4 linked regions of the Lepisosteus oculatus genome follow. The protein of the gene in region 1 binds, or shares a complex with, the protein of each later gene. Links are inferred from orthologs where the notes say so. Each region holds a gene or a part of one and is shown in the gene's direction. Other genes may lie near its edges. The genes, in order: yeats2, kat14, mbip and tada2a.

What was found.
Region 2: yeats2 (region 1) and kat14 share a complex: the UniProt entries of both Homo sapiens proteins name them as parts of the ADA2A-containing complex. The link is inferred for Lepisosteus oculatus from reciprocal best matches to the Homo sapiens genes YEATS2 and KAT14.
Region 3: yeats2 (region 1) and mbip share a complex: the UniProt entries of both Homo sapiens proteins name them as parts of the ADA2A-containing complex. The link is inferred for Lepisosteus oculatus from reciprocal best matches to the Homo sapiens genes YEATS2 and MBIP.
Region 4: yeats2 (region 1) and tada2a share a complex: the UniProt entries of both Homo sapiens proteins name them as parts of the ADA2A-containing complex. The link is inferred for Lepisosteus oculatus from reciprocal best matches to the Homo sapiens genes YEATS2 and TADA2A.

What each region holds. Positions count from the first base shown.
Region 1 is NC_090708.1:11,813,851-11,821,095, forward strand, and holds the start of yeats2 (YEATS domain-containing protein 2), read left to right. Parts: upstream 1-4,224; 5' UTR 4,225-4,295; intron 4,296-6,488; exon of another isoform or gene 6,489-6,702; 5' UTR 6,703-6,767; intron 6,768-6,959; exon of another isoform or gene 6,960-7,028; intron 7,029-7,245. UniProt on the Homo sapiens protein: Chromatin reader component of the ATAC complex, a complex with histone acetyltransferase activity on histones H3 and H4. YEATS2 specifically recognizes and binds histone H3 crotonylated at 'Lys-27' (H3K27cr).
Region 2 is NC_090712.1:559,310-566,247, forward strand, and holds the start of kat14 (cysteine-rich protein 2-binding protein), read left to right. Parts: upstream 1-3,936; coding exon 3,937-4,207; intron 4,208-5,108; coding exon 5,109-5,230; intron 5,231-5,452; coding exon 5,453-5,574; intron 5,575-5,676; coding exon 5,677-5,858; intron 5,859-6,312; coding exon 6,313-6,732; intron 6,733-6,938. Other genes in the region: mgme1 (mitochondrial genome maintenance exonuclease 1), read left to right, coding at 1-108, 575-707, 1,024-1,158; protein PET117 homolog, mitochondrial, read left to right, coding at 2,424-2,519, 3,144-3,287. UniProt on the Homo sapiens protein: Component of the ATAC complex, a complex with histone acetyltransferase activity on histones H3 and H4. May function as a scaffold for the ATAC complex to promote ATAC complex stability. Has also weak histone acetyltransferase activity toward histone H4.
Region 3 is NC_090703.1:22,283,860-22,291,732, forward strand, and holds the start of mbip (MAP3K12-binding inhibitory protein 1), read left to right. Parts: upstream 1-4,864; 5' UTR 4,865-4,895; coding exon 4,896-5,036; intron 5,037-7,556; coding exon 7,557-7,676; intron 7,677-7,873. UniProt on the Homo sapiens protein: Inhibits the MAP3K12 activity to induce the activation of the JNK/SAPK pathway. Component of the ATAC complex, a complex with histone acetyltransferase activity on histones H3 and H4.
Region 4 is NC_090721.1:9,406,318-9,413,981, forward strand, and holds the start of tada2a (transcriptional adapter 2-alpha), read left to right. Parts: upstream 1-4,662; 5' UTR 4,663-4,828; intron 4,829-4,955; 5' UTR 4,956-5,054; intron 5,055-6,734; exon of another isoform or gene 6,735-6,828; intron 6,829-7,664. UniProt on the Homo sapiens protein: Component of the ATAC complex, a complex with histone acetyltransferase activity on histones H3 and H4. Required for the function of some acidic activation domains, which activate transcription from a distant site. Binds double-stranded DNA.

The sequences.
Region 1 (7,245 bases):
ATAGCCTTTTCTGGTGTGCTAAGTTGATTTGTTACTGAATTTTCTACTAGACTAGTTATCTTACTTTGCCTTTAATTACAACACAAGTGCCTTGAAATTATATATCAATTTAATATTTTGTTTGTTTGTTTGTTTTTTAATATTAGAGTATGAGAATACACAGCATTTGGTTAAGGAAAACATTCAAGCCAGTTTAAGTAGAACACCTATATCGAGAGGGAAAAATTAAACTTAGCAAGTAAAAGGTAAATCAAAGAATTCCATAGAACAAATAAAGTGAAAAGTGTACTGATTAGTCTGCTCACATTTACTGTTTATAGCATAACATAACTGGTACACTGACACAAGAATTTCAGGAGCAAACTTAGTTGATGGTGTATGCCATACAATGGTCAATTCCACAAATCATTATTTTATTTGGAGAGATTGTTGTTATGTAAAGGCTGCATGTTAAAACTAGTTAACCTTTTTATTGATAAGCCAGTAATTGACATGTTGTGTAATGGTTGCATTATAGTATTGCGTGATAATTTCTTTTCTCTCACCTTTCATTTTATTTAAACATTTTGTATGTGTGTTAAGCCACTTGCGTATGATTGTACTAGATGTATCACTGATGCCTTAATAAAGTAACTTTCTCCTAAATGATTGCCATTTTTATTGAAACTTTTCTGTTGTAATTTTACTTTGAAGAGCTAGGGGCCTCATCACTGCCTGAAAATGTTGGTGGGGTGGTGGCTGCTTTCGTGCTTCTAAACATTTGCAAAACCTTTTCTTGCCCAGTGAGTCTGAAATAAAATAACTATTGAAATGTAGCAAATCCTATAAATCAACAAAAACTTTATTCCTATTTAATAGTCACATCAAGCCGCTATGTAACAAATGTCAGTGTTTGCCTAAAGAAAAAAAATGTAAAGACTTGTTAGTGTTGATGTACATTAAAGGGGTTGAAAATGTCAAATTTCCCAATGTTATTTATCCATCATAAACAAATTCAGAAATCATTTGTTTTACACTTAAGCCTACAGTTTGCAGAGGAATTTACAATAAATACTCTCGTCCTCTTTTCTTATTTTGTATTTTTCCTCTGTAATCCTGTTATATGCAACTTCAGAAACCTAAAGAATTCATCATATTGGTTCAACTGTGAAATGACTGGGCCTTTTGCTGACTTTGGAAAGATGTACAAATGGCTAAGGAATCCATAGCCACATCCTGCCACTGTTTGAACTTATGTCCCCTACAGCACTTTTTTTGTTTTAGGCCTCGAAAAAGCAGTCCAAACTCCTATATACTCTTAAATTCAAAACACCGACTACTTATGGATAATACATTGTATTGCTGAAACTCTTTTTCCTACAGCGCACTACAGAAAAATATTTTTGTATAAACTGTTTTACCAGTTGATCTTGCGTAAGAAACAGTAGTCTTGAACATCAGACAGCTGCTTAGTTTCAGTGAATCATGTGCAAGCTACCAACTTGAATTTGAGCACATGGGATGATCTATGAACCCTAATCCGTCAAATCTACAGACTACTACTCAGCCATTAAGGATGACAAAAGCCAGGTCTGTCACTTCGACATGTTTGTTTTCCTCAACTGGTAATGTAACAGTTAAATACCTCTTTAACTTGATGGTTAATTCTGCAAATGTCATAGCAGGCTAAAGGCTATACAAATATACCAAAATAGCTGTGGTACTGTATGTGTTTTGCTTCTCAGAACTGATACTTGGTATTTCAAAACCCATGCAGTGATAGACTTAACATTGTTTTTCAAATGTGCTTTACATTAGGTTTCAAGTTAGATAAATATATTTTAATATTTGAATTTGAAAATGAAATGTTATTCTTTTATAATAAATGTACATACATGTAAAATCTGGAATATACTTAAGCAATATGTTCAATTGGTTCTACTAGTGTAAAATGTAATATGTTGAAGTATTAAATAAGATATACTTTGTTTTCTAACTGTAGTTTGTTGAAGTTGGCACTACAAAAACCGCAGTATATTCTACCTCACGTGTTGACTAGCCTTTCATTAAATCTCTGTTGAGTCTTAGCCAGCATAGCTATTGCAAACTAAAGTTCTAAATTTTTATTAAGCTCTCATAACTAGCTAGTAGCATTTAAATGGATTACTGTTGTTTAGGCATTACATGAAATGATCTGAAGTTGATGATGTATAACATAACATTTAGAGTTTTAGACATTTAACAATGTTTTATGTTTAACATTGTGAGTAGTCTAAAAGTTTAAACTTAAGCAGTGCAGGCTTGTGAAAATGTTGACACCACATGTAAACAACTCCATTTATGAAGAATTTAAAGATTGTTTAAATCTAAAACCAAGACATTTTAACACACAGCTCCTTGCTGCAGCATCTTAATTCATAAAGTCAGACCTAGAAATGTATGCATCAGTGGCATCATAAGTGCACTTTGAAGCAATGCAACATGCATATCTGTCAGGTCAGGTGAGATTAAAACAACTTTCAAAACATAGTCCTTTTTTTCTGGGTACCCCAAATCAATGTAGAGGAATCTAGGAACAGGACCAGGACCACAGTACTGTCCTCAGTTTCCAGTTTACCTAATCTAAACACTTTGGATGTGGTGAATCATTAGAAGAATGCTGAACACCAACTGGCAGGTGTGTGTATTGTTTGAATTCACTGTGCTTTCTTCAAAAACAGTAAAACTGTTCTTCTGAGCATGAGCAAATATTCGAGTCGCAAAACCCAAAGTTGGGCAGGGGTAGATTTTCAACAGTTTTGGTACCTTATCTTCATGGCCTTACTTTACTGCATTGTATTCTGTACCTGCTCAGTACTTTAGTTCTGATTACTCAGTCCTGTATTCAAGACATATACTGTAATTAGAACATGGTAATAAAGCTATACACAAAACATATGTTACAACATGCACACCAGCATTTTCTTAAATGTTAACACTACTGTAGACAAAAACAAAATCATATATTTATACTACATGATTGGATCTCACTATTTGTAAATCAGCTTTCAAAAGTCATTCTTTTTATAAAGGTGTTGTTAATTACACCTGTTTTTCTTGTCTTTCTGCTTGCCTCTCTGGTTCTGCAGTTTTTGCATTTGATTCAAATCATAGTTTCGGTTTAGAATTTTGTTTTACAGGCTCATTTCTAATCAAGGAAAAGTGGGCCTCAGAGAGGCTTCATGTGGTTCTGCAGAAAGAATGGAGGTGAAGAAGTACACTAACAGGCTTCGTGCAAAATAATCTGGTTTCCCTTGTTAGTTCCCTAGTAGTCAGACTGGAAATGCCTTTTCACTTTTGTTTGGCACAGTAAATAGCAAGATTCAGAAAACAACACATGAAGACTAGAATGTGAGAAAAGAAATATTGTGCCACTCCAGTAAGGGGTTAATGTATGGTGTCTACACAAAGGATTTAATACCAGAAGACAGATGTCAAACATTTGCAACACCTGCCCTCACAAACAGATTCAAAACAGAATATTAAAGAACTGCTCCTTCATTGTACCAGTTTGTTTACACAACATTCATAGAACCTCAGCAAAACTGGGCAGACCTTTGTTCTTTTGTGTGTAGAAAGAGTCTTTAGTGTCATAATAAAGAAACCTAAGACGTCAATATGTTTGTCAGACAAAGGGCTCAAATGATCCAGTTTTTCTTTTCACAAAAATTTCCAAATAAGCGATTCAAAAGCATGATATTGTTGCTTTAATCCAAGATATGGTCAGGTTTTTAGAAAATTTGAATAGACGCTAGGAATACTCTTGTCTTGATCTGCACCATTTTGTAAAGGTGGATAGATATCAGTGCCGCGATATCAGGTTGTGTAGAAATGGCATCTAAAGAACCACATACTGTACTAGACTGTTCCTTTAACACAATAATGATATTTTACTTAGCAAGTACCTTTTTTTTTAGTTATCGAACAAGTTAAAAATATTAATCTAATTTTGAAAACAAAATAATTCAATGGTATTTTATACTTGTTGGTCTACAATGATCAGTACTGTATGCTTTTCTTTAACATGACAAATAGCTAACATTAGACTACTCCATTTCATTTTTGTAACAGAGCAGATTTCATCCACAGCTTCCTGGGACTGACCAAAGTGTGCGTATCTGTGTACTGTATATCTGTATCAACATAATCCAGGTGAAAAGCAGAGGGTGAAATAATACGTCAGCAGTATTTTGATCCCACAGGGTGCTGTAGTTTCTAGAAGGAAAGGTGTGCAGAACAAAGGAGTGCCCTGAACAGGTCCTCATGGCGGGGACCAGGTGAGTAATATTCATATGAAACAGGGCGTACACTCCATGATGTTTATTTTCCACTCAGTGTTACAGTCCATATTACATAAATACTGCTAATCTCTTCCTAGCTTTGCATCACCCTATAGCACATCAAAGCAATCATGACAACAACAACAACAACTATAATTATTGCTTTTATTGTTGTTCTTATTTTAGTTGCAGTTGTGCTGTTTTTGCAGATTTTCTTACTAAATATATAAATGTTATGGTTTACATGGAGAAAAATGCTTAAAGACATTACAATTGATTTCTCCACATTTAATTAATTTGTTAAAACTGTGACAAATCAACCTCAGGGTTTCTGAGGCTGCAGGAGTGGTTATTAATGAAGCGCGGCAAAAAAAAATTCCTCATGTCATTTCATGGCAAGAATTCAAGAGAAAGGGTTTCGTTTCTTATTGTTAGGCTTTCAAGCAAATATCTTAACACTATATCTCTTGCATGATAATATTTCACACATATCATAAAACCAGAGAATAGCACTGGTAATTTGCATTAGTAATCAAGATATTTGCAATCCTTCAGTGAAGCTTAATATGATTTTCCTCATTCTAAAATTTGCCATTTTTGAGCTACTTCTAGTTCACAAGCTTATACGGTAGTACAAGTGTGTCACACCTGAAGAAGGCTCCACGGCCGAAACGTTGTGTTCTCTTTCTTCTTTTTTTCAGCATGGAATAAACATATTACTTGTTCCTTTGCAGCCTATGCATGCTGACGCAGCTACCCACCTGAACTACTATTACCTTTATTACGTGTGCATACGGGAGCCAAAGCCAATGACTCAATTCAGATACAAAAGGACGCTTTTTATACAAAATCACAAACAGAAAACCCACCCAGAACAGTTCCAGTACAATTCCATGCCATATATATTGTAAAGCCAAGGCTGCTAGCCTTGGTACTGTACGTGATAAACTGTAAGAATATTCTTGGGTTCCTTTAATTATTGTTTAAGCAGACAGTATGTACTTCTAGATTTTGTTTATCATGGGTTAAGCAGATATCGGGCACTCTCAGTTCTGTTCAGGTTGTCCGATGCTGGCTCTGCCCTTCATGTTCCAGGTATGTAGCCGGCTCACACTTAAGTTGCAGTTAGTAATTTTCCATTATTCTAGCAGGATAGTTAGTAAAATTATGTTAGTAAATGATTTACACAGTAAAAGCAAATTAGTGAAATAAGAGACGTAAATGTTTGATCCTTCACTTTAAAATGGGCTTCAGTTTTCCCATAAGATGGTGTGAGAACTTGTTGCACTTTGTAAATTCATGCAATAAGTGACTTCTTAAAAATGTGTTGCAGGGAAAAAGTAAAAAGTAAAATTCTCTGTGGACAAGAATATGTGGACAAATTAAACCCCTGGGAAATGCAAACTTTTGTATTTGTTTACTGCTGTTGTGCATTGCATTGGCCGCAATAACTGCATCTGAGCACTGCACTGTTATCGTGTTCCTTGTACTTAGGCCCAGTGTTCTTCTAAGGTAATAAGACCTCACTAAAAATGCAACATCTATATTTTGATCAATGATCATAACTTAAACACTGGGTTCTTGGCATAAATGGCACTGAAACTGTGAAATCAGCTCCTGTATTCAGGACATCCTTTTTAGTTTTCACTGGAAGTCAGAAGCTTTGTCTGCTTACAAAATGAATAAGTCCAAAGATGTGGAAACATTTGGGCACACCTTAAGCAAACAACAACTGATAGCATTGCAGGCATCCTTCACAAAACATCCTTCCATTGCTTTACGGAAGAAATAACATTTTCTTTTGTTCTTCATTTAAGTAAAACCAGTGACTTCTGCTGCCAAGAATACTGGCAATATCACAATGCCTAAGTACATTTCATTTTCATAATGTCTCTTTTAATGAAAATGCGATCTTATCAGGTCCAGAGAACAGGGTATATTTTATTTTATTTTTTTTGTTATGAAAATAGACATCATTGTTATTTTCATCGCATTAATAAAAATATCTTAGGAAACGAAGTGACTTTATATTCCTCTGCCTGTCATACACAACGCTTAATACTATAAAGTCCCATAAATGTTAGAAAACTTCAATTATTGTACTGGACTTTATCACTACCTGTTGTGTTCGTTGGCACAACATTGCTAGGATGTACAGAGCAATGTCCTCTACCGGTTACTTGACGGTATTGCGTGGCCTAGCGTTCTCTGCAGGTTCATGGCGCTCACACATTAATGTCCAAAAAAAGTATTGTCTTTGAATCATATCTCCCGGTGATATATTACCCTTTTCGGCGCTTAATTTCTCGGAATTATACCACCATCAACGCGCTAATAGTCATCTTTTACATTCTTTGCACCTCCAGGCCAAAACTAAGTTGCGTATCCCCGTCTGTTTCTGCAGTTTCTCGGCGCTGATCCCGGGCATAAGATTGGGGAAGTTTGGGAAGACGGGCTGCTTGGAACTGGGTAAGGAATTGACAGCAGCCGTTTTATAAATCACGAAATCCACGATTTTATAATAGCAGTATAACCAGATTATTGCTCGTTTGTTAGGATCTCTCAAAATAAAATTGAGCGGCGAGCTTGAAAATTTTATTTCGGTGCAGGCCGCAGGCTTTTACCGGACTCGATTAATGATCATTCCGGGTAGTAGCTGCAGTACTAAGGCAACACAGAACGGAAGAATATAGTGTGTTTTTGCTTTAATATGGATCTGCTCCAAGCTGTGTGAGTTTCATGCTTGATAGCGTTACGCGTTATTAGTGCCTGACACATGGTTTTATCTTGTAGTTATTTGCAATTCATACCGTTTTTTAAAAGTGATGTCCGCAGCACAGTTTACTACCCGGTGATTTCAGGCAAATAACGTAATTATTCGAAAATACAACTGATTCGAAGTTTAGTGCATTTGATTATTAATCTTTTTATTGTGGAGTTCCACTAT
Region 2 (6,938 bases), on another chromosome or scaffold:
TGTGCAGCACGTGCTGGCGGACATCAGCGGGGTGCGCGCCATAGAGAGTGCCGTGACCCATCAGACTCTGCAGTACGTCGGCCTGGTGGACTGCGTCGCCCAGTACAGGTGAATGGCCTCTTAACAGTCAGTTTGCTCCTTGAATTCGGTCATGCGGCATCCCATGATGCATTGAACTCCTTACTCTGACATTGAGGATCGATCTCCAGGCTCTCTCCCTTCAAAACACAGGAGAAAGGCAGCCATTACTAGGCTCAAAGGTAATAAATACTGTGTTTAATTCGGCACCCCAGAATCTTCCTGAGAAAATTGAGAAATTGTAACACTGGAGGACCATCATGCTTTGTAAATGTCACCACACACAGGCATGTGAACTGAAAATCAACGTATCCTTCATTTTAGCTTAATATCATCCTTGTAGAATATTATCATCTTTAATATTTATTTAGGTGGAATTGTCATCTGTGGCGTTTACTTTGTGTTTTTAGATTTTTTTAGCGACAACATAGAAGCTCTGTCTATGAGTGTCTGATTCATGAGAGACACGGTGTGACCCATGATTCTTTCCTCACAGGGGGAAGCTGTGTGTGATTGACTGGAAGACCTCAGAGAAGCCCAAGCCACTTCTGCACAACACATTTGACAACCCCTTACAAGTTGCAGCCTATATAGGAGCCATAAACAATGATGACAACTACGGTTTTCAGGTTTGTGTGATTCAAACTGATGACTTCTTCTATATGTGCTTTTTTTTGTCATATAAACATTTTTAATCTCATGTACTTTGAGTAGTTACTGTTTCTTCATGTTTCAAGTTGTCACTGGTGATCTAGCTAGAGAAGTTTGAGTTCTGTGAATTGTGAGCCCTGTAATTCTCCTGTTATGAAACTCCAGTACACTGAAGTACAGAAAGGATTGCACATAGAAGTGCCTTTTATATAGAGACTGCAAAGATCTCGGTAATAAATATATTAAATTTAATCGAGATGGATGTTTCCCTGTTTCCCTTCTGCTTGCCTTCAGGTGGAAGACGGGCTGATTGTGGTGGCCTACAAGGATGGGTCCCCTGCCCACCCTCACTTCATGGACTCCGCTCTGTGCCTGGAGTACTGGACCAAGTGGCTCTTCCGGCTGGAGGAGTACCTGGAGAAGCAGTAGAGGGAGCGGGAGAGAAGAGCCCAGGAGTGCACAGCTCTTTACACGGCTTCCAGGCTGCTACCCTTCCGCACACTCGTCACGTGCGGCGGCGGCACGCTAACAGTGCGTTTGTCACATTCACCCGCTTTCCTTTCTGGTTGTTTTCAAATCAAAAAGTGTTTTCTTTTTCAGTTCTCGGTGGTGAACAGTCGTGGCCGAGGGTGTTGGGGCAGGTCTGAGCCAGAGCCTGGAACCAGGCTGCCTGTGCGCTTGTTGCACTGGGGTGAATACACGCGTACATGTGTGGACACAGCCATAGCCAAGGCAAGGAAAAACGGGAAAACAAAGAACCCATCATAGGCAGCACCCCTGGGTTTTATTCTTCAAATTGACCTCGGAGAGCAGGGTTAATTACCACGCCTGTGATTGAAGAAAACGCGTGTCTGTAATCGCCATCATCTTGATGCACTGTATGTTTGTTCTGTTCCTTCACGGCAAAGGATCTACTGTATTTACATGTAAGTCAGACTTCTAATAAATAAATAAAACTCTTAAATTGCCCCTCTGGGGATGAATAAAATATTTTGAATTGTGTTAATTACTAATTATTCTTTTCTATCTTCATGGGTAATAATTTCATAGGGACCTGCAGACCCTGCAGGACTGTGTTTCTGGCCTGGGAGATCAGAGCAGAGGACAGGAGGTCCTTGATTTAACGTACTGCTTCTCCTGGGTTCCCTTGTGATTTCAGGTGCTTAATATGAGTTTTTCTTGTCCTCTGTCAGAATTAAAAACGTGGTACAATCTTATCTACTCCTGTCTATTATTTTCATAAAATATATATTTTGTAATTTGTGACAGTAAATTAAGCAAGTCGATAAATGGGAACGTTTATACCCGATGAAAGTAATTGGAATTAATTCTTATTTATAATGAAAAAAATTGTCTACGAAGAGATCATAGGAGATCATATGTTAGTAAAAACTTTCATCACTGTTGTGCGCTCGTACTGTCGGCTTAAGGGGGAAAACGTGAAGCCACCTGCCAGGACCTGGGTACGTACAACGTTGTGCATCTATTCACTGCTTTCAGACTGTTCCTGACCACGCTGTGGTGAACCTCGAATTGTTCTATACTCAATTGATTTTGACTGCGCGGTTATTGCGTCATCGCCATGCGCCGGGACGGCTCTGCTGTGAAAACACATTGGTTTTACTCGAAGTAGTGCCCTTGACAGATAATGTGGTGTTGGAGCGTTTCGGATTTTTAAGTGCCTTCCTTTAGCTATGTCTACAACCTCCAAGGTGGTGTTAGGGATTTCTCTAGCTCTGACTCTGGGAACGGTGGCGGGAGTTCACATCAAACAAAGTCTGGATCGAGAGGTGAGAGCCCGGAGACGCCTCAGCTTTCCCAGGCCGGTTTGTTTATTTCGATAGTGTTTCAGCTTCTGCTGCTGTATTCCCGTGAGAACTCACATCGTCGCAGCATTTGTTTCCTTCTCTACACGGGCAAAGGCTTGTAAACGAATGCACCAATAAGTCTGGGTGGTGTGGGGAGGATAAAGGACTTTTAGCAATGCATAGAGTTTGGCGTAAGAGGTCCCCTGTGAGGTACTGACTGGATACAGGATATATGGGCGAGTTAATTGAAGGTCAACAGATTTAAAAACATTCTGGACACAGACCTGTAAAATACATTAACAACAGTGTGAATTGAAAAAACGTTGTTTTTTTCTATGAAAACACTCTGTTGCTATGCTGCTACCTCAGTAAGTTAGTTTTAGCTGATGAATGTCAGAATCTTGTGTATGTGTGCACGCATATAGCCGTGTATCTATACTTGTGTTTGACATGAATTAGTCAAAAGAATGAACTAGTCCTCCTGTGCTTTAAAGAGACGTTTAAGGGGTTAAGTCAATTGCAAATCTAACAGAGTTGTCTCAAGGAGTGTGAGAGCCACCTGTTGATGCTCTTGTTCTGATCGTGCTGCTCTTGCATCTCCGGCAGAGACTTCGGGAGGGTGTTGTCCGGGACCTGGAGCGGCAGGCCAGGAAAAGGGAGAACCTGCGGCAACTGGAAGAGCAGATCAGTCTGACCAGGGAGCTGGAGAAGGAGCGGGAGAGGAGAGCAGCAGGCGCTCAGGGCTCCTAGACTGGCAGGCCACCCTGAGAGAGGCTCAGACATCGCCAACAGCTTATGTGAGTCAGGCTGGTCCGCTGACTGTGGGTGTTCTGGCCTGTGTGGCCGATGCTGAATGACTCTGTCCTCCAAGCCAGGTGTGTGTACCTGAACGTGGTTGATGGGCTCTAGGCCAGAAGTGTCTTCAAGTTTTAGTTCCAGTCAAGGTCTCAGTTACTTACTTGAAATTGTTTGAAATTTTCAGCAGATAAACATAATTTCAAAATGTGGTGCTTAAGCAAGCGATCTGTTCAATCCCAGGCTCAATCATTTAACTGAGGGTTGAGCTGGAATACTTAGTAAGTTTCCTTGAGGGTGTGGGAGTCTGCTTTACATGGGACGTGTAAGAAAATTTCATGATGTGTACAGGCCATTCAGCTCATCAGAACTACAAAAGGCCTTGCTCCTTGAGAGACCTTGTTGCAACACTGGTCTGGATAAAATCCTATTATTACTGATTCTCTCTCTTCCTCTGTAGTATCAGCGCAGGACCTGCTTTGCCAGTTGCATCTTGTTTCCTGAATGTATCTGTTGGAGTGAAACTGTCCCCTGTCCCGCAGGGTTGTGGGGCTCTGCAGGCAGCCGGCCCAGAGCGCCCCTGTCAAGCGAGTACGTGCCAGCGATGGACGGGGGATCTGGCGAGATGAGGGGCCTGTCCAGCCAGCGGATGGACGACGAGGCCACGCGCACCTCGGCCTCGGAGGGGCTGGAGGAGGGGGAGGTGGAGGGGGAGACGCTGCTGATCGTGGAGTCAGAGGACCAGGCCTCTGTGGACCTCTCCCATGACCACAGCGGGGATTCCCTCAACAGCGACCTCGGCGACGAGCCCGACTCCAGCTGGACGGAGGAGATGTCCTTCTACTGTGATAAGTGTCACAAGTGGATCCCAGCCGGTGAGACGCACCTGCAGCTCACTGCCAGCTTCCGAATCTGTAATGGTGACTGTGGGCTTAAAGCTTTTTTCCTTTTTAAACTACAGTCTAATACTGGCTCTTGTAAAGAAGGGAAGGGTTATCTCTGCAGCCGGGAAGCTCTCCCCAGTGCACTCAATTCCCTCTTGGCCAAACTCCCTCTCTGACTCAGCCAGCCGGATGACGGACTCTGACAGATGTCAGCTACACCTCTGTGGCTCTCCTTGTCCTTTCTATTCCTCCCTGCTCTACTGCCACTCCATTGCTCTAGTCACTCTGTTGGCTCCTTATTAACACACACATCCCCCTCGAAGCCCTTGTTCTTGCACACTGATTACTCAGCGCCTCTGCTCTTGCTGGTCTTCAGTCCCTTATCTCTCAGCCTTCTCCACCCCATCTCTGCTCCTCCTCTTCATTCCCTCACGTCTAGAGTCTGTTCATTCTCCACCCTCACCCCTCAAAGTGGAGTGGACCTCCCCCAGAAATTAAAACTGCTCACTCGGTCCCTGACCACCTTTCGGCACCTGCTCAAGACTGGCCTGTGTAGACAGCTCCTGGGATCTGAGCTCTCATCTGCATCCTTCAGTAACCCTCATGTTGCAATAAAATTGCTAATTCATAGACTGGTAAAGGGGCTTGCTAAGTTAAGTTCCTCACAGTAAAGAAGGCATACAGACTTACAGGGTGTTGACATCACAGCTCCATATTCACACTGTCTGAACTCTGACTATTCTTGGGAGGGCGTTGACCTTAGAGTAATTCAATTCAATTTATTTTTATATAGCGCCTTTTACAACAAGGTTGCCCAAGGTTGCCCCAAGTAAAGTAAAATCCTATTTTTCTGTGCTGATTCTGAACATTAGCTTCCTTGTTCAACATCCAGGTCAGCTGCGAGGAGACCAGCCCAGCTACCTGAAAGGCGACAACTTCTTTAAGTTCACCTGCTGTGAGTGCTCAGAGGATGACAAGGAGCACTTTGAGAGGATGAGGCTCACCTGGCAGCAGGTATGAACCAGGGATATTCTCTCTGGGCCACCCCTGACTGCTCAAGGGTCTCCAGGCTCCAAATCATCTGATTGAGTCCAGTTTAAAGGTCTTATTTCAGCTCTCCAGAAAAATAATTACTCATGCTGACATTTACGATTTTGGGCCATATAATACTATGACGTTATTAACACTGTTGACACCTGTTGATGTTTGAAGTGGTCATGACTTCCTGTCCTCCAGGTGGTCATGCTGGCCATGTACAACCTCTCGCTGGAGGGCACCGGCCGACAGGGCTACTTCCGGTGGAAGGAGGACATCTGTGCCTTTATCGGGAGACACTGGACCTTCCTTCTGGGATCCAGGTAGGGCACTGGGGTAATTGCTAGCACTGGCAATTGGAAACAGAGAGAACGGACGACAGCGGTGTGTGTGGCTGATCTGCTCCCTCTGACTCTACCGTGCAGGAAGAAGACATCCACATGGTGGAGCACAGTGGCGGGGTGTTTGTCGGTGGGGAGCCCCATGTTCTTCCGTTCTGGAGCCCAGGAGTTTGGGGAGCCAGGCTGGTGGAAGCTGGTACACAACCGACCACCCACCCTGAGGCCCGAGGGGGACAAGACCTCCGTCTCCTTGCTGAAGACAAAAGGTGAAACGCTGCTCTCTCCTCTGGTTCTGAGCTGAGGCATGTGCCTGGAGCACAGGAGTAAAACAATCCAAAGGAATGCTGTTCCAGCATCTCATATTTCTGTCTGGATAGAGGTCATATGGCCTTGCTGATCAACTGTTCTTGGAAAATGGCTTCTCAAAGCTTAATGCCAGCAGTCAATCAAGGGAGACAAAGGACTTTTTCACCCTGACATGATGGGCTTCCCAAACATCAGCAAGGTTACAAACACCTGCAAGAGTCTTGGTCCAGCTTTTTCTTGCAGGCCTGCCTGGGGAAAGCTTCAGCAGTAAATCTGTTTTGCCTGTACTGCTGAACTTGTGCATGGAGAAGTTCTCATTCTAGTCAGTGCTCAGTTCCTGCTCCCCTTGTGTCTGTGGGGAGGGGGGAGGAGGCCGTTTTCCTCATCTGACTGTGGTGTGTTTTGCCCCCTCAGCCCCCTCCAAGCCCCCGCTGGACCCCATCATCACGGTGGAGGGCCTGAGGAAGCGCGGGGGGCGCAACCCGGTGGAGAGCGCCATGCAGCTGAAGGAGAAGCGTTCGCGCACCCAGGAGGCGAAGGACATCCGTCGGGCCCAGAAGGAGGCGGCCGGCTTCCTGGACCGCAGCGCCTCCTCCACGCCCGTCAAGTTCGGCAGCCGGGGTCGGCGGCCGGAACTGGTGCTGGAGAAGGGGGAGGTGATCGATTTCTCCTCCCTCAGCTCCTCGGACCGCACACCGCTCACCAGCCCCTCCCCGTCCCCCTCGCCTGACTTCTCCGCCCCCGGCACTCCGGCCTCCCACTCCGCCACCCCCAGCCTGCTGTCCGAGGCTGACCTCATCCCGGACGTCATGCCCCCCCAGGCGCTCTTCCACGGTGAGGCTGCCCTCTCTCATGTGCGGCTGGGCTGCAGCAGACCGGGCCCGAGAGCCTTTTCCATCTTCCTGACGATGGGTGTCTGTAAGGGCTTGAGTTTTCGCCATGTAAACACAGGGGGTTTGAAAGAGACCCTGGGGTCTGACCAGCAGCTGTATCACAGATGCAGTGGAAATGTCAAGGCTGAAGTCAAGACAAATCATGTC
Region 3 (7,873 bases), on another chromosome or scaffold:
CTTTTGTTCGTCCTGATTCAAGAAAAAGGAAACTAGACTCAATATGGAAATACAACACTGCTCAAAACAATGTGATTTGTGTGCCAGTAATGTTTACAAAACTTGATTTTATCACCAGCTGGAAGCATTTGACGAGTGTATTAACACTGGCTTCCTGGTTGGAGTTTAAAACTGCATAATAAATATTTTACATGTCCTGCAGCAGGGGTTCCCAATCCTGGTCTTAGAGACCCACACACCTGCAGGCTTTCCTTCCAGCTGAGCTCACAGTTTGATAATTGAGCCCTTAATTGACTAATAATTAGATTAACTTGAATCTTTCATTGTTTTCAATGTGCCTAAACACATTGTCAACGGGCTTTTAAATATGCCTTTAGATATTGACTGCTTTACTGTTTCGTTATCTAAAAAATCTAAACAAATATTTTATTCAGTTTCATAAGGAACTGAAGGTCTCTAGCTTTTGCAATGAAAACAAAAACATTCACAGGTTCCAATCACATAAACATAAAAAAAAGTTCAGGTAAGGATTCAATCAAGTAATAAACTGGACTAGATTTAACACCTGCAGGTCTGAAATTCCCCTTTTACAACAGGAACCCTTTTATGACAAGTAAGGAAATATTTCTACTTCCAGATCTTAACATTTAAGGAATATTTTGCCAAAAAAATAAAGGAATAATAATAGACACTTATATAAGGACTGTCTTCTCTCCTTAGGATGAAATAGTATTAAACATCAGAAATCAGCTAAGTTAACATGAAAGGAATTGTCTTTTTTTCTGTCCAGTTGTTAGCAGCATGGCATCATTATTTTCTGTTTACTTTTTCGGCTTGGCTTTTAAGTCAATAACCACATGTAAATTACTAAGACAATATAATCTTTCCCATTTTTAGTGTTCAAAATCATTTGCATTTTGGATGTAGTGCTGTCGCAGTTCAGTGAACGAGCTGACTCTCCAGCTTCTCCAATTTGTATCACAGTTTTCATCTAAAATGTTTCGGTTGTGGACAACAAAGAGCATACATCCATGGTCATTAGGAATCTATTCCTTTTTCTCTTTTTCTGACATTGTTGGCCATAGAAACTCACTGACAGTTAATTACCATGGAAACAGCAGTAATGACTACTTCATTTTTGTTCTCTTTTCTTACATTCATTCTTCTTGGAAAAAAAAAACGGATTTTGGTAAAATGACTCAACGGACATTTTTTACAGCCCAAAACAGCATCCTGAGGTGCGCTGGAGGAGAATTTTACTACATTGCCTTAGTCTGGTGATAATCTTCTAGCATGCTAAAGAGGTTGGTACAACAATTCAGTACCTAACATCTGTGCCCCCACATAAAAAAAACACTGTATTTTTTAATTTATTCCATTCTTCTCTATTTCTACAAGCTGTTTGAAGGACAGATTCAAGTCTCTCCTTTATTCTGTAATATTCCTAGAGAATGTGCTTCAGTTGGCTCTCTCACTCCTCTACCTTGACAGGCCTTTCATTAATAAACCTTGCCAGCAGCTTTCTTGTGCTACTATTAACCTGAAAACCATTAAATGGAACCCCCAAGTCCCAGGTTTCTCTTTGTATGCAGGCTTCCACAGATAAGGACCTGAGGAACAGAAAGCCTTTTCCTCCCTTTGCCCTCAGCAGTGTCTCTTTTTTAATTAGCTGTTTCCACAAAAGCCCAAGAACAATAAGTCAAAATGATAAAAAAAACAATGCATGACACCATTAGACGCGGAACACCAAAGCTCGACTGTACCGACAGCAGAACATTAAAGCCCCCTTTTAAAAGTATGCCTTCTTAATGTATTCAGCAACTGACACTGTATCACATTTTCCCAGGGCTCCTGTAGTTTTCTGCACTTCTTAACTCACTGCTTCCTTCTTCTTCTTTCCAGCCCCTCTGTTTCCTTTGACATTACTGGGAAGTCTGTGGATTTTAGCTTTTTTTCTTTACATTAGGGCTGGGAGGGTGTGGGGGGGGGGTGTTGAAGGAAAAAACAATCCTAACCTTTTTCTTTGTTTCTAAAACATGAAAGCAGACATCTGATCTATGACTGTTGCAAAACGCCACTTCAATAACATAACATTTTAAAAATATAACTCCCCCAGCGGGTATTTGAAAAATGTATGTGTTCAAATATTGAAGTAAAGAAAACGAGTGTGCTTTAAATAACTTCAAATTGTTTGAAATGCAACATTGTTATATATTCATTGGAGAATACTAGGGTATCTTTCTCGTTAGACCAGGCTGGTTGTGCAAACAAATGTTCCCATCATGAATATTACCAGCCTGAGCCATGTTCTAACATCACATCAGAGTTTTAGCCAGATGTGGAAATTCACACCAATAATTAAGTGGAACATAACCGAGTGTGGTGCATTTCCCCTAATTTCTTCATTGTTAGCCGTGAACTGGTGCCGTAATGGTGTGTTCTGGAGGAAGCACTGTCCTTTGCTTGCCAAAACCCTTTTGTTGTGTCTTTTCAGGCACAAGGGAAGATATTTTCCATTGAAGAGGAAAATGTGTAGTACGTTTACACTGAAACCTTGGGAAACATTTGTTTTACAAAAACGCATAGCAGTCAAATTAATTCATCTTTAAAATCAATTTGTTTTAGAAACTATGGTTTTAATGTTTCATTTTAAATAAAAAAATGTTGTTTTTTTTCTGGCAAGTCTGTCTCTTCAGCCAAATAGAATATTGTTATAACAGCCTGTTATAATATCAGGTCACACAACATTAGGTATGCTATTTAATGGAATTAAAGCTAATTGTTTTTCTTCTTGTATAGATACAATAAAGGCTCTCCCTCCTTTACTGAAGTATTATAACCCCATATACAGCTGCACAAAAACTGGGATTCCCTTCTGCACTTATGTGCTACACTGTGAAAAAGGGGTATCACTCACTTACACACATTGTGAATTTAATCATATTTTCCTTTTAATAGAACACAACATTAATATGTGGATATGCCCTTCAAATTATACCCTCATAAAAGAAAGTCATTCTCTCCCTTGTATAAGCAGGAGAAACATATTTATTTATCTGTTTTCTTATGATTAAATAATCATAAGAAATGTACCCACATGTAACAATTATGGAACTATTTGCCTTAAAGAATGCATGGAATTAATAAATATGGTCAAAATAGAATAATGACTATTATAGCTCCTTTTTTTCTAGCTTTTCTCCCCCATTCTCTCCCCTAATGGTATTTTCATTGCCATCCATACAATTCCCTTTGGAAAAGAAAATAACTTTTTTTCCCACACAAAAAAACATTGGGTGGTTGAGTGCTACCAGAATCCTCCTTGTAAAACTTTATGTTCTTATGTGACACCTCTCACCATGTTGCTGTACAACCTTCTAGTTTTATCCGAACGTCTGAGAGAGGCTCCTTCATGTTTCTAACTGGAGCCTGCATTGTTGGTTATTCTTCCAGCCTGTTCATTCTGATATGACCTTTCTTACAGAACCACTGAAGAATTCCAAAAACCTCTGGACTGCACAATCAAATGGCTCATATCTGATCGGATGTGAGCTGTTTCACTCAATAACAGTATATTTCAACAAAAATAATATATTGAATTTTTTTAGCTTAGTATCATTTTGAATAGGTGGACCTATTCCTTTCCCCTATTTTCATGTGTACATCCAATGACATTTTTGCCAACTGATTTTTTTTATGGTGGTAAAATTACAGTCACTCTATTCTTTAAAGATTACAGACTACAACCTCATGCAGTTAAACAGGGTATGAAGAAAAAGATAGTGATTGGGCCATAATGCCAAAAGTAACTTTTAGATATTTTCAATAGTTTGCATTCAGAGAAGAAGTAAAGAATCTACGCATTTTGGGCAAAAACAGATTGTTCTCTAGATGAAGGCATCCTAACTTTCAGACTACATGGTTTGAAATCCAGTAGGATTTTTTTATTATTATTATTATTATTAACATCTGCTTAAGGCTCAGGGGATTTAAAGGGTTGCTCCTTTAACACTTTATTGGATCGATCCAGCAGTCCTACAAGGTGTACAGTTCTTTAAAACATAAAATGAGTCAGATTGCCGACTGGAGTTAAGAACACTTAAGTTAGGACATTCCATTATCGAGAATCGAAATCTTGGTATAAAATAAAAGCATTATTAATCTGATGAAAACAGTCGGAATTACAATAGTTAAAAAAGAACCGGACATTTTTGTGTAAATGCTAAAACGACTGACCACTAAAGTCCTGAGACAAATATAAATAACGTAAATCGCTTCACTTCACTTATTAGTACTTTAGCACTCTTTAAAATATACAGATTATTTTCTAATCTGAAAATCCAAATAGGAATAGAAATCCAACATATGCTTCAAATTATTATTGGTTACAGGGCAAGTTGGATATAAAGTTAATATATGAAAATTTGCATTTGTTTTATAAGTCAATTGTAAATGTTATGTTTTTTTATTTTTATTTATGCTTAACAAAAGAACAAACATTACAATACAAACAAGAGTACATATAACAATTCCAAACAAAAATATCGTCAGGGGTACATACTACTACATCAATTCAACTTATGAAAAAAGATTAAACAAATTAAATAAGAATAATGTTCGCACCGCTTTCATATTTTTGCATTTCGAAATAGTCAGCAAATACCTCTTCCATTTTAAAATGCTCAAACACAGGGTACCTCCCAGACCACTTCATTGTATGTATGTGAAATGTTATAAATGTTGATACTTATTTTTGCATTCACCTCCAAAACCTTCCCTCCCTGTCTTTCCACCAATAGCAGATGACTCTGGATTGATGTCACTCAAGCGCGACTTCGCTTCACTTAATCGACCAATCATCAGGCACGACGTTCAACTCCTGAGCCAAGGGTGTCATGGCTGATTCGGTGGAGACCAGTGCAGACAGTTGTGAAGGAGGCGACCAAAAGAAGAACGAGACAAGAACATCTCCTACAGGCACAGTTACAGAATGTCTTTGTGACATCTTCACTGCCTTGACCCAGTTTAGCGCAGAGGTTAGTGTAGAAGAACACGTACAAGTTAAATGTACTGCACTTATTAATTATTGTTGGGACTTGTAGCTAGCTTTCTGTTAAAAATAAAAGGTGGGTTTTAAGAGGTGTTTTGTGCTTCGGTACAGGTATCTGTAATCTTAAATGTTGCATAAGAAGGAATCTTGTCAGTAAGAACAATTAAGGTTTGCAGTTACTGTAACTGTGTTATATTTAACTTAGTTTGCTGTTTACTCATTTTAAACATGTGTTAACATTTTTTGAGTGTACACATATAATCTGTAGAGTACATATTGTAAAACGAACTACGTACGAGTGTATAACAGTTGCAGCCCCGCAGTAAAAGCCTCCATAACGTGTAAGTCTCCGTTGTTTAAACTACAGCTGTCATTAATCAATTGCTCACACTAAGACTGGACAACTGCTTCAATATTTTAAAAAAAGATATTGTCCGTGATCATAGGTTAGTTGCTATTCCGTTTTTAGAAAATCCAATATGACTTTAAAATATTTTGCAATAACGTTAGAACTCATGTGAAGCTCTTGCTGCAAAGTACGAAGCGCCTCGTTATGCGAATTTTATATGGTACTATTCTCTCCCTATTTGAGCTTAACTATTTTTTAATGAAAATGAATCAATGAAAGGGTACTGTACTTTGAAAATGTGAATGAACTAGTTTGTTCTGCAATTATATGGCACGTATTCAGTTCAGGGATGGCACGGTGGTGTACTTCTAAGCTTTGCTGCCTCGGTTCCGTTCCTATGATACTATTCAAGTGGAGTCTATTCTTTTGGTGTACCTTTCGTCCAGGTACTCTAGTTTCCTCCCACAGTCCAGAAACATACTGGTAAAAACTGGCTTTTGGAAAAAGTGGGCCTGGTGTGAGTGTGTTTCGTGTCTGTATGTGTCCTGTGATGGATCGGTATCCTGTCCAGGGTGTCTTGTGCCTGTTGCTCCGGCTCCCACATGACCCTTTATTGGATTAAGCGGTTAGAAAATTGAAGCACATGCAGTTAATTCTTCTTTTGTGGCAACAGGGAGGGTAAATCGATTAAGGAATAGTGTGGCACAGCTGGACAACAGAGGCCAGACAAGGCTGTCTTGGCTCTTGGGCTAAGTTCTGGACTGGGGCACCTTCTGTTTGGAGTTTGAATGTCTGTGTGGGGTTTCTCCAGGTGTCCTGGTTTCCTCCCACCTTCCAGAGACTGGAAGGCTATTTATGTATCTTCGCTGGCCCTGCATGCTTGTGTATGCCCTGTGAAATGTTCCGTCTTGCACCCTATGCTTCCAGGATAGGCTCTGTGCTGCCGGGCCCCTTGCTACGAATAAGTGGCTCTCCGATAATGGATTGATGAATTATATTAAATAACCGAGCTAGGGTTTATTTTGTGAAAAGGCAACAAACTTCTGGAAACTGCCTCCCTACAATTTAGATTTTTTTTCCCTTCGTTATTCTTTGATGTAATATGGCAAGCCAATTTGAATGTGTTTTAAAGGGTGCTTCACTGCTGACTGGCTTTGTCATCTGGGTTTTAATTAAAGAGTAAATAGGTTAAACAATGGAGCAGCATAGTGGCCCGATAGCTAGCTTGCTGCTTTGCTGCACTGGGGCCCTGGGTTTAATTCCAGACCTTTCTGGAATTCTGGTTTCTGTGTTCTCCTGGTTTGCGTGGGTATCTTCTGAGTGCTCCGATTTCCTCCCAGTGTCCAGAGGCATGATATTAGCTTAATTGGCTTCTGGGGAAAATTGCCCCCTGGCGGAGGGGTGGGTTTGTGGCTAAGGATCTGCGTGTGTGGCTGGAAGGTTGCTGGTTCAAATCCCGCGGCCAGCAGAGGAATCCTACTCCGTTGGGCCCCTGAGCAAGGCTCTTAACCCCAGCTGCTCCAGGGGCGCTGTACAATGGCTGACCCTGCGCTCTGACCCCAAGCTTCTCTCCCTGTCTGTGCATCTCATGGAGAGCAAGCTGGGGTATGTGAAAAGACGAATTCCTAATGCAAGAAATTGTATATGGCTAATACAGTGATCTTATCTCTAGTGTCAGTCTGTCTGTGTGTGCCCAGCGATAGACTAGCATCCCGACTAGGGTTTATCCTGCCTTGCGCCAGTTGCTTATTGGGATAGGCTCTGGTACAACTGCTTACAAGTACTGGATAAAGTGATTCAGAAGGAAGGATGGTTAAACCATGTCTTGGTTAAAAGTCTTCATAACAAGCAACGGTGTTTCAACAGTTAACAGACATCTTCAGCTTCCAAAACAAAATCCTGTCTTGTGTTGTGGTGATGAGGCAGACATGGTGATGATATAAACCCATCTTTCTTCATGGGTTTCACATAATACCTGTGGGAAGCATATTTGTTATGATAGGATATATTACCTAAGTGCACCAGTTCTGTATTTTTTGGGGAAAAAAGCTAATTGGAAAATAGAAGGCTGAACTCCAGCAGGACTAAGGCATTGAGTAGTACTAAAACAATTTGGCATATTGACTGATGCACATGCACTTCCCTGTCTTTTTCAAGGTTAATTTAGGAGCTGATGTATTACAAATTGTCGCAGACCAAAGCAAGCTGCAGTTCTCTTCAGCTACTCAGCCGGCACAGCTGTACAATTCCATTCAGCGTCACATTTCCAAATTACAGGTAAGAAATCAACACATTTAAGATTTTTTGTTGCTAGTTAAATTATAATGTAAACTCTCTTTTCTCCTCATAAATGGGGCATCAGTGTGTAAATTGTTCTACAAATGTAGATTAAAACTATATTTTGTCTTTTTTTGTTTACTACATCATTTTGAAACATGTGGGTGTTTCAGGATTTCAAAAGTATTTGGAAAAAA
Region 4 (7,664 bases), on another chromosome or scaffold:
CACAGTGGTGGAGTGGTTGCAAAGCTGGGGCTGTGGGCTCCATTCTGGAGCTGGGATGCTATCTGTGTGGAGTTTGCATGTTCATTCCGTTTCTGCATGCCTTTCCTCCCACAGTCCATATATGGACTTCCTACCCAGGCATGCAGTAGGAAGCTGGTACTGTAGCAGGCCTGCATAACTCAGCACCACCCCTTTGCGACTGCACTAATGAATGAAGGGGGGTTTCAGTATGATATTTACTTAGAAATGTCAAGGCATCTAACAGAGGCCACCTTTTGACACAGGTTATGTGTGGGACATATTCAAGGGTGGAATGGGCTCGTGTTTGAGGTGATGAGGGGGTATTACTCCCCCCACGCAAACACGCTCTAAGTTTTTTTAAAATCTTCTCGCGTGGTGACGTCACCGGATTTAATTATCCTCCTGTGTACTTTGCACAAGGGGGCGGATTGTAATGGTTTAATGGAAGGGAAAAGGGACAAGAAGAAGACCACCTGTGTCCCAGCACATGCGTTAAGTCTGAATTTGAAGCGCGTTTCAGGAAAGGGGCTGTGAGAGAACGTTAAGGACGTTGTTTCCTTTATTTCCTGCAAAGACCCCCAGCCTCTCGCCGCGCCGAGACGCGACAGCTTCGGACCCCCGCGGGGGAGACCTTCCAGGCTGGACCGACGCCCACCGGGGGAGTGGGCAGACACTGAGTTCGCCCAAGGGAGAAATGGCTCCTTTTCTGAAACAAACAACAAGAAAGGAGACTTCTCTGTCACCACCGCTGCGCCCCGGTTGATTCTCTTCATGTTTGTTTTCTGAGCGCGTGTTACGGAGATCAATTTCTACCCCCAACGAGCACACATAGCACCCCTCCTGCTGACGGAGACTTGCAGCCTCCGCTCTGCCCGAGGCCTGGGTGCATTTTCATGCACAGCAGCCCGATATATATACGACTGCAAGCGGATGATCCCGTTTTAAAAGTACACCAATTCGAGATGGTTTCAATTAAATGCGCGGAAGTGACATTAGTCATGCGTAGTTCCCATCAACGATGTACTGTATAGCATCTACACTCTTGTTAAAACTATACAGCATCAGCCTTCTAGCCGTGAGGAGGGTGGCTGGGGGGGTTATTTTGGGGTTGTGGCCCCAGGTGACCCCTGACCCTGACAGAGACAGCTCTAACAAAGCGCTTGTCATTTGGATGCTTGTAACCGTGGGTTACTAATACTAAACCCTTTGTCTTAGAACCTGTCATAAGGTGTCTTCATGTCGACAGGATAGGATAGTTGGAAGGGAAGATAGGCAGAAGAGGGAGCTCATTTTTCTGGAGTTCCTCCCCAATCTGTTTTTAAAAAGAATTTAAAATCAAGATCCTTTGTGTATAGCATTTACTGTATGGTGCTCTTTTGTGCAGCATTAAAATTAACGCAGCCTGGGTGTTCCCTCCCTGTCTGTACAGCTGGTAACAATCGCATCCTTCTGCGTTGGCCTCTGTGATGTAAAACCTCCGATACTGCTTCTGCTGTGTTTGTGCCTGCTCCCTTCTGTGCTCGTCTTTTTGTTGCATACACAGCAGGACATTGTAAGATCAGAGGACTTTGCATATATAGTGTATACAGAATGTATGTCCTGATTCCGATAAAGTATTCAGAGCAACGGCCTAGCGCTGTTTCACAAGGATTGACAACACCGATGAATTAAGAGTACTGAATGGATTGTGGAGTGTTTTAGTCAACATTTTGGCTTAACCCACTTGGCTGAGGGCCAACCTCCTGGCCGGAGGACGAGGAGGCTGGGAGCCCCCTGCAGAGTGAGGGGTGACCCAGGGGCAGCTGCAGAGGGGGAGGTGGGGTGGAGGTGAGATGCAGAAAGACTTTCGTGAGGGAGAGAAGGGGGTCCCGTCCAGTATTTATAGTGTTTAGGAGAGGAAATGATGTCAGGGGTGATTGCTAATTACGGAGAGCCGAGTCAGACGGAACCTCCCTCCCGAACGTTCACAGAACCGCAGGTGAACAAGGGGTGGGAGAGCCGTGGGGTGCACACTGCCGGCCAGAAGGCATAGGGCAGGGGGGTCTGGAAGAGAGGCGAGATACAGTACTCCTGTGGATTCGGGGTTCAACCTGCGTGACTCTTGCCTCCTGCATCCTCTTGGGCTTCTGCCGTGCAGAGAGACGTGCAAACCTTTCCTGGGCAAGTGCAAAACTGTGCACGACCTCGGGACAAAGTGGTGCGGAGGATTTATTTCTGTTTGCCCGGGGAATTGGAAAGGTCCATCCAAGCAATTTGCTGCGGAAACGCCCCTCAAACCAGTCTCTCTTTTGGTATGGGAGTACTGTGCCCTTCCTGTTGCCCATTCCCTGCCCATCTCCAGTTGTCCTGCCTGTGCCCAGGACTGGAGCTAGGAATGCAGGATAAAGCACGTCTCTCTTTGCAAGTGATTAGAAAAATCTCCAAAGAAAGGAAAGGGAAACACTGCCGAACTCCTCACTTAGAGCATGCTTGAATGAATTCATTTCCAAGCTTAATGTCCTTTAACAGCATCCTCCGAATCAATCAGGGCTTAATGGCCCTCTTTGTCTATAACTCCTGGGGGTCTGGAATGTCGGAGCGAGGCTCAGAATGACAGGCCCTGAGCTCCAAGGTCACGACCTGTTTTTGTGAGCTCCCCGGCGACGCTGGGAATGAAGATGGATGGCGCACAGAGACGACCCTCCGGGTGACTCGTGTATCGGCTGGCTCTCTCTCTCGGCACTGGCCAAGGTGAACGGCTCGGGCTGTCCTTTCCCTGTTTTCACTAGGATGTCATCTCAAACAGCCCCTCATCTGTCCGCAGAGATAAGCCTGATGGGCGCTGCTAGCATGACGCCCAGGAACGGCAGAGCCTGTTCTCTCCAGTGCTGTTCAAACCAAATGTAACAGAGTTGATCCGATCAGTCCTTTGCTTTTTTGAAGATCCAGATTGTGTTTTTGTTTCTGGCACGCGTGCATGCAAAGATATGCAGAATGTAGGCTTTAAAACTAATAATGGTAGTTCCTTACCCTTATATACTGTAGCACTATTCTAAGCACTTCACTCAAAGCCCTTTACAGACAATGGAGATCCCCTCCACCACCTCCAGTGTGCAGCCCCACCTGGACGATGCACCAGTACTCTCCCCACACACCAGCTCTCAGTGGGGAGGAGAGCAGAGTGATGAAGCCAGTTCAGAGATGGGGATTATTAGGAGGCCATGATTGGTAAAGGCCAGGGGGAAATCTTGCCAACTCCCTGGGATTTTTAGTGACCATGGAGAGTCGGGACCCCAGTTCTACGGCACCTTTTTACAGTATAGTGTCCACATCAGTAAAGGACCCGCACAGACTGCAGGGTGAGCGCCCCCTACTGGCCTCTCTAACACCTCTTCCAGCAGCAGCCTTAGTTTCTCCCAGCAGGTCTCCCATCCAGGTACTGACCAGGCTCACACCTGCGGGGCTTCAGAGGGTCACCAGCTGGGAGCTGCAGGGTGACATGGCTGCTGGCTGCATGACTGCACGATGCACGTTTGATAAAATCACCCCTCCTAGAGAGGCACAATCCTCATTCAACTGTGTCTTCTGTTGCTGCCCCTGGTGACAGAAGTCACTTCCAAACTGAGGTCTTAGAGATAGAAAACTGGCTGGACTGCCGATTCTATAAGAGAAACAAGCGAGAGAGTTGAGACTGATACTGAACTAGAGCTGCCAATTTGCCTCCCAGAATGCCTAGGAAATCCCTGACGCTTGTGGGGCTTCTCAGTGCCCCAGTGAGAGCAATTAAAACCAGCCCACAGTTCATCCGGGCACTGAAATCAGGGGGGTATCCAGTAACTCTATCTTATAATTACAGGGGGAACAGCAGATCGGTTTCGACACACAGATGGATGGAGTGCTCCCTTGACACCTGGAACAAACAGCCTTTTCCTTCCTGGGGCACAGCCTGAAGTGACCCTTCGCCACTTTGAGATGGATTTCCTGGGCGGCTGTTGATCTCTCTTCCTTCTTCCCAGGACACCTGGCTTGACTACAGCACAGCAAACAGGATGTGCAGACTTCAAGAATAACGGTCTAATGAAGGGAGGTTTTTTTGTGCTTTTTTAAAAGATGAGGGTCTGAGGATTATCTGGTTTAAACCTAAACAGATCGATTAGGGTTTTTTAAGGTAGGCAGACTCCACAAACATACTGTAGTATGTTTTTGCAGTTTCATTTGGGAAGCTTTGATGAAACGAGAGAGCGCATAATGGGTAAGTGCTGCATTTGAGAAGCAGAGGTTCAGAAAGAAAGGATGCTAAGAACATGAGAAAGTTTACACATGAGAGGAGGCCATTCGGTGCAGAATGGCTTGGCAGTTAGTAGCTAATTGGTCCAAAGATCTCACCAAGCCATTTCTTGAAGGAAGCCAGTCTATCGGCTTCATCAGCATGGCCGGCGAGTTTGTTCCACACCCCTACCACCCTTTGCGCAAGGACGTGCCTCCTGTTTTCGGCTCTAAATGCCCTTTTACTAAAGAGCTCCAGAGAATGATCCGGGCTACACAATCGACACTATTGTCCAATCGCTGCTGAGTCTGCGCTACTGGGCGGGGCTAGGAGGCGGTGCCTGTGACGTATGAGAAGGCGAGAGGGCAGGAAAAGGGGCGGGGAATCTCGCTGCGCTTCCGGCTTCCCTCCCCCGCCCCCGGTGCTCGCGGGGTTTCTGCGGTACCAGCCGAGCCCTGAAAAAAGCGTGTGGTCCTGTGTAACAAAATTGACGATTCTGTTTTTTCAAAGAACATACTTCCCTAATGACCTATTAAAGAAGCATGTATGGTTGTTGGAGAGGTAAGGAAAAGGTTAAGCTGAGGTGTTTCCCAATTTAGGGCCGAGAATCTGGAATATTAATTGAGTTGTTTTGTTGAGTTGAGTTGTTTTCCGCTAATGAAATATAAAATAAAATTTCATTTTGCAGTCTGACTTGGGGGATATAATACTTCGGCTCTTTTGGCGATGAAGAGCGCCGGAAGAGAGGAAAGGACGCCCATCTTGGGATCGGCTTCGCGTCGTTCAGGTAAATTCAGGAAAAACGTTTCTTCGGCCGAGAAACCGACCGTTACAGCGCTCCTTGCGCGCGCGAGCGGCTCGCGACCGAGTGTGACGTTGAGTGTGACGTGTCGCCCGTCCGTTCCTCGTGCAACCCGCGGCGTTAAAGCCCTGCGCTTTACTGGCATCAAATAACAGTTTTGCGGGGGGGGTGCAAGGAGTGGAAAATTCCGTGTCTGTGGAATTCTCCAGGGAGCGGGAGAAAACAAAACGAGTAGACTTGCCTTACTCTTTTATTGGATATTCCACCCGGGGCCGGGAAGTGCAGCTCCGACTGCCCCAGGGCAACGTTACTGCAGTGGAACAGGAAATGACCGTTTTAAGGGTCTTCACATACATCCCCAAATCCCCTGAGCACTGTGATCTCATTCGCCGATGAATCCAGCTTTGGTCTTGGCCTGCTCAATTATGAACATGAATATTGAAATAAATCTACCATCGGTCTTATCCTCACTCTGCACTGGGACTGTGAAGCGCAGGACTGCTGGAGCCCTGTCCAGTAATGAGCCAGAGATTCTGTACCTTGCAGGACGGTTTCTGGTGGACGTCAAGGAGAAAGACGCCGTTCTGTTCTCCCTTTAAAGAGCAGAAACCAAAAATGGGTTTTGCAACCAAACAAGGCCACTGGGGTGTAGGTTAATAATAGTAATGTTTCTTTATTAGCCCTATACAATTTCTTGCATTAGGAATTCGTCTTTTCGCATACCCCAGCTTTTCTCCAAGGAGACACAGACACACAGACAGGGAGAGAAGCTGGGGGTCAGAGCGCAGGGTCTGCCATTGTAAGGCACCCCTGGAGCAGTTGGGGTTAAGGGCCTTGCTCAGGGGCCCAACGGAGTAGGATTCCTCTGCCGGTGAAGAGACAGCAGTGAACACTGGGTCTGGGGGGTGGGCTCCAGTCCCCCAGGGGAGACGCCACCAGCCGCTGAGGGCTCTCAGCCAGGTTTGGAACCCCTAGGAACGAATCGGGTCTAAACGAGTCAGAAAAGGAAAATGCTGCTGGTTGAAGCCATTCTGTATGGGAGTTCCTCCTCCTGGGCGGAATATTGATTTCTTCCCCAAAAAAAGGTGATTTGCTAAAAGCATTAGAAGCCAAATTTGCCGTTTTTAATGTGCATAATGTTATTATTCCAGTGCATCATAAAACGTTCAAGGAAGGCACTGGGCGTTGAGCGTGGCTTTTCTGAGCCCTCTGTCCCTTGAAGGACCGCGTACAGAGGCGCACAGCTCACACCTCTCCTAATAGGTGCCGTACAGTCTGGTCTTTGAAGATTAGCTCGGCGGATTGAAAGAACACCTCGATTCTTTTGTCATCAGCCAGGAGCATTTAATAATTAAATGGCAGGGGGTTCTTTCTTTGAAACGAAGAGACAAAATTAGATCTGAAAACGCTGGCGCGAGCCATCATCTCCATGTGAATAAAAGACGCCACCATCAAAGCCGCAAAAGACTGTCTCAATTATATATGAACCCTTGAAGCCAGGCTGTGATGTGCCTAACAGTAGAAAGTATAAATTGCACAGTGGCAGTGGAAGGCTTGTCAGAAAGCAGCTCTCGGCAAGGGGCAGCAGTCAGGTTTAACTCGAGCTACACATTTCAGAGCATGCATGTTTGCAGATTTGCTCTTATCCTTTTCCCCTTGTTTTAGTGCCCGAGTTCCCTTGGACTGGCTGACGTCCTGGGAGTTCTCCAAAGTAACACACAGGGTTTCGGATCCATGGGGGCCTGCAGGAAGAGTGCAGGTGATTAAAGACAGGGGTCAGTTAAGTCTTTTGACTTGAGTTTCGATTAAACCAGGCAGGCTTTCTTCTCGCAGCTCACTGGGAGAGATGGGATTGCTGCTGACGGATTGTGGGGTCTGGGTGTTAACTGAAGTTCCAAGGAGGAATTTCACCAGCCAACTCCGAGTACCCGATCGGGTAGTTCGGAGACCGGGAGTTTTCAATAGTACAGGAAGCAGCAGTGGATGCCGAAAAATGCATTGCTGGGGCATAGGCGTTGGTGATAAAAATATGATTGAATTTATAAGATTAAATCTAGGTATAAAAGTTATGTTGTATAATAATCACAGATTTAATAACTGGATTTCAAATTAGAACAACTGACCTTTTGTTTTTTAATTTAAAATATATATTTTTTAACGGCTCATAATAATAGATCTAATTAAGTACACACAGGTGCCTCACATGCTATGATGCTTTAACGTTTTCCAGTAAAGCAGGACAATATATTTGCAGAATGTGGGGTCTGTTAATCTGTGAAAATATCTTGCATGGGTGGATGTTCAGCAAGTTCTCTTGTCACTCAATCCACCAGGGAGTGCACTTTGAGATTCGGCTTGGTGGACAATAGTAGGTATCCTGAGGAATTAGACACAGTGCTTCAGCTAGAGGGCTGATCAGAAGTGCATACAGTGGTACTGGCAGTGTGCCTGGCACACACACATGTACTGTGCTTGTGCTTTACATTGCAGCTAATTTAGGTAGAGGCAGAATGCTACCTTAAAACCATGACTGACAGTCTAGGGGTCCTGCAGTTGTGTGGCTCTTGCATGGGTCTTGGCTAGAAAAGGTTGCAC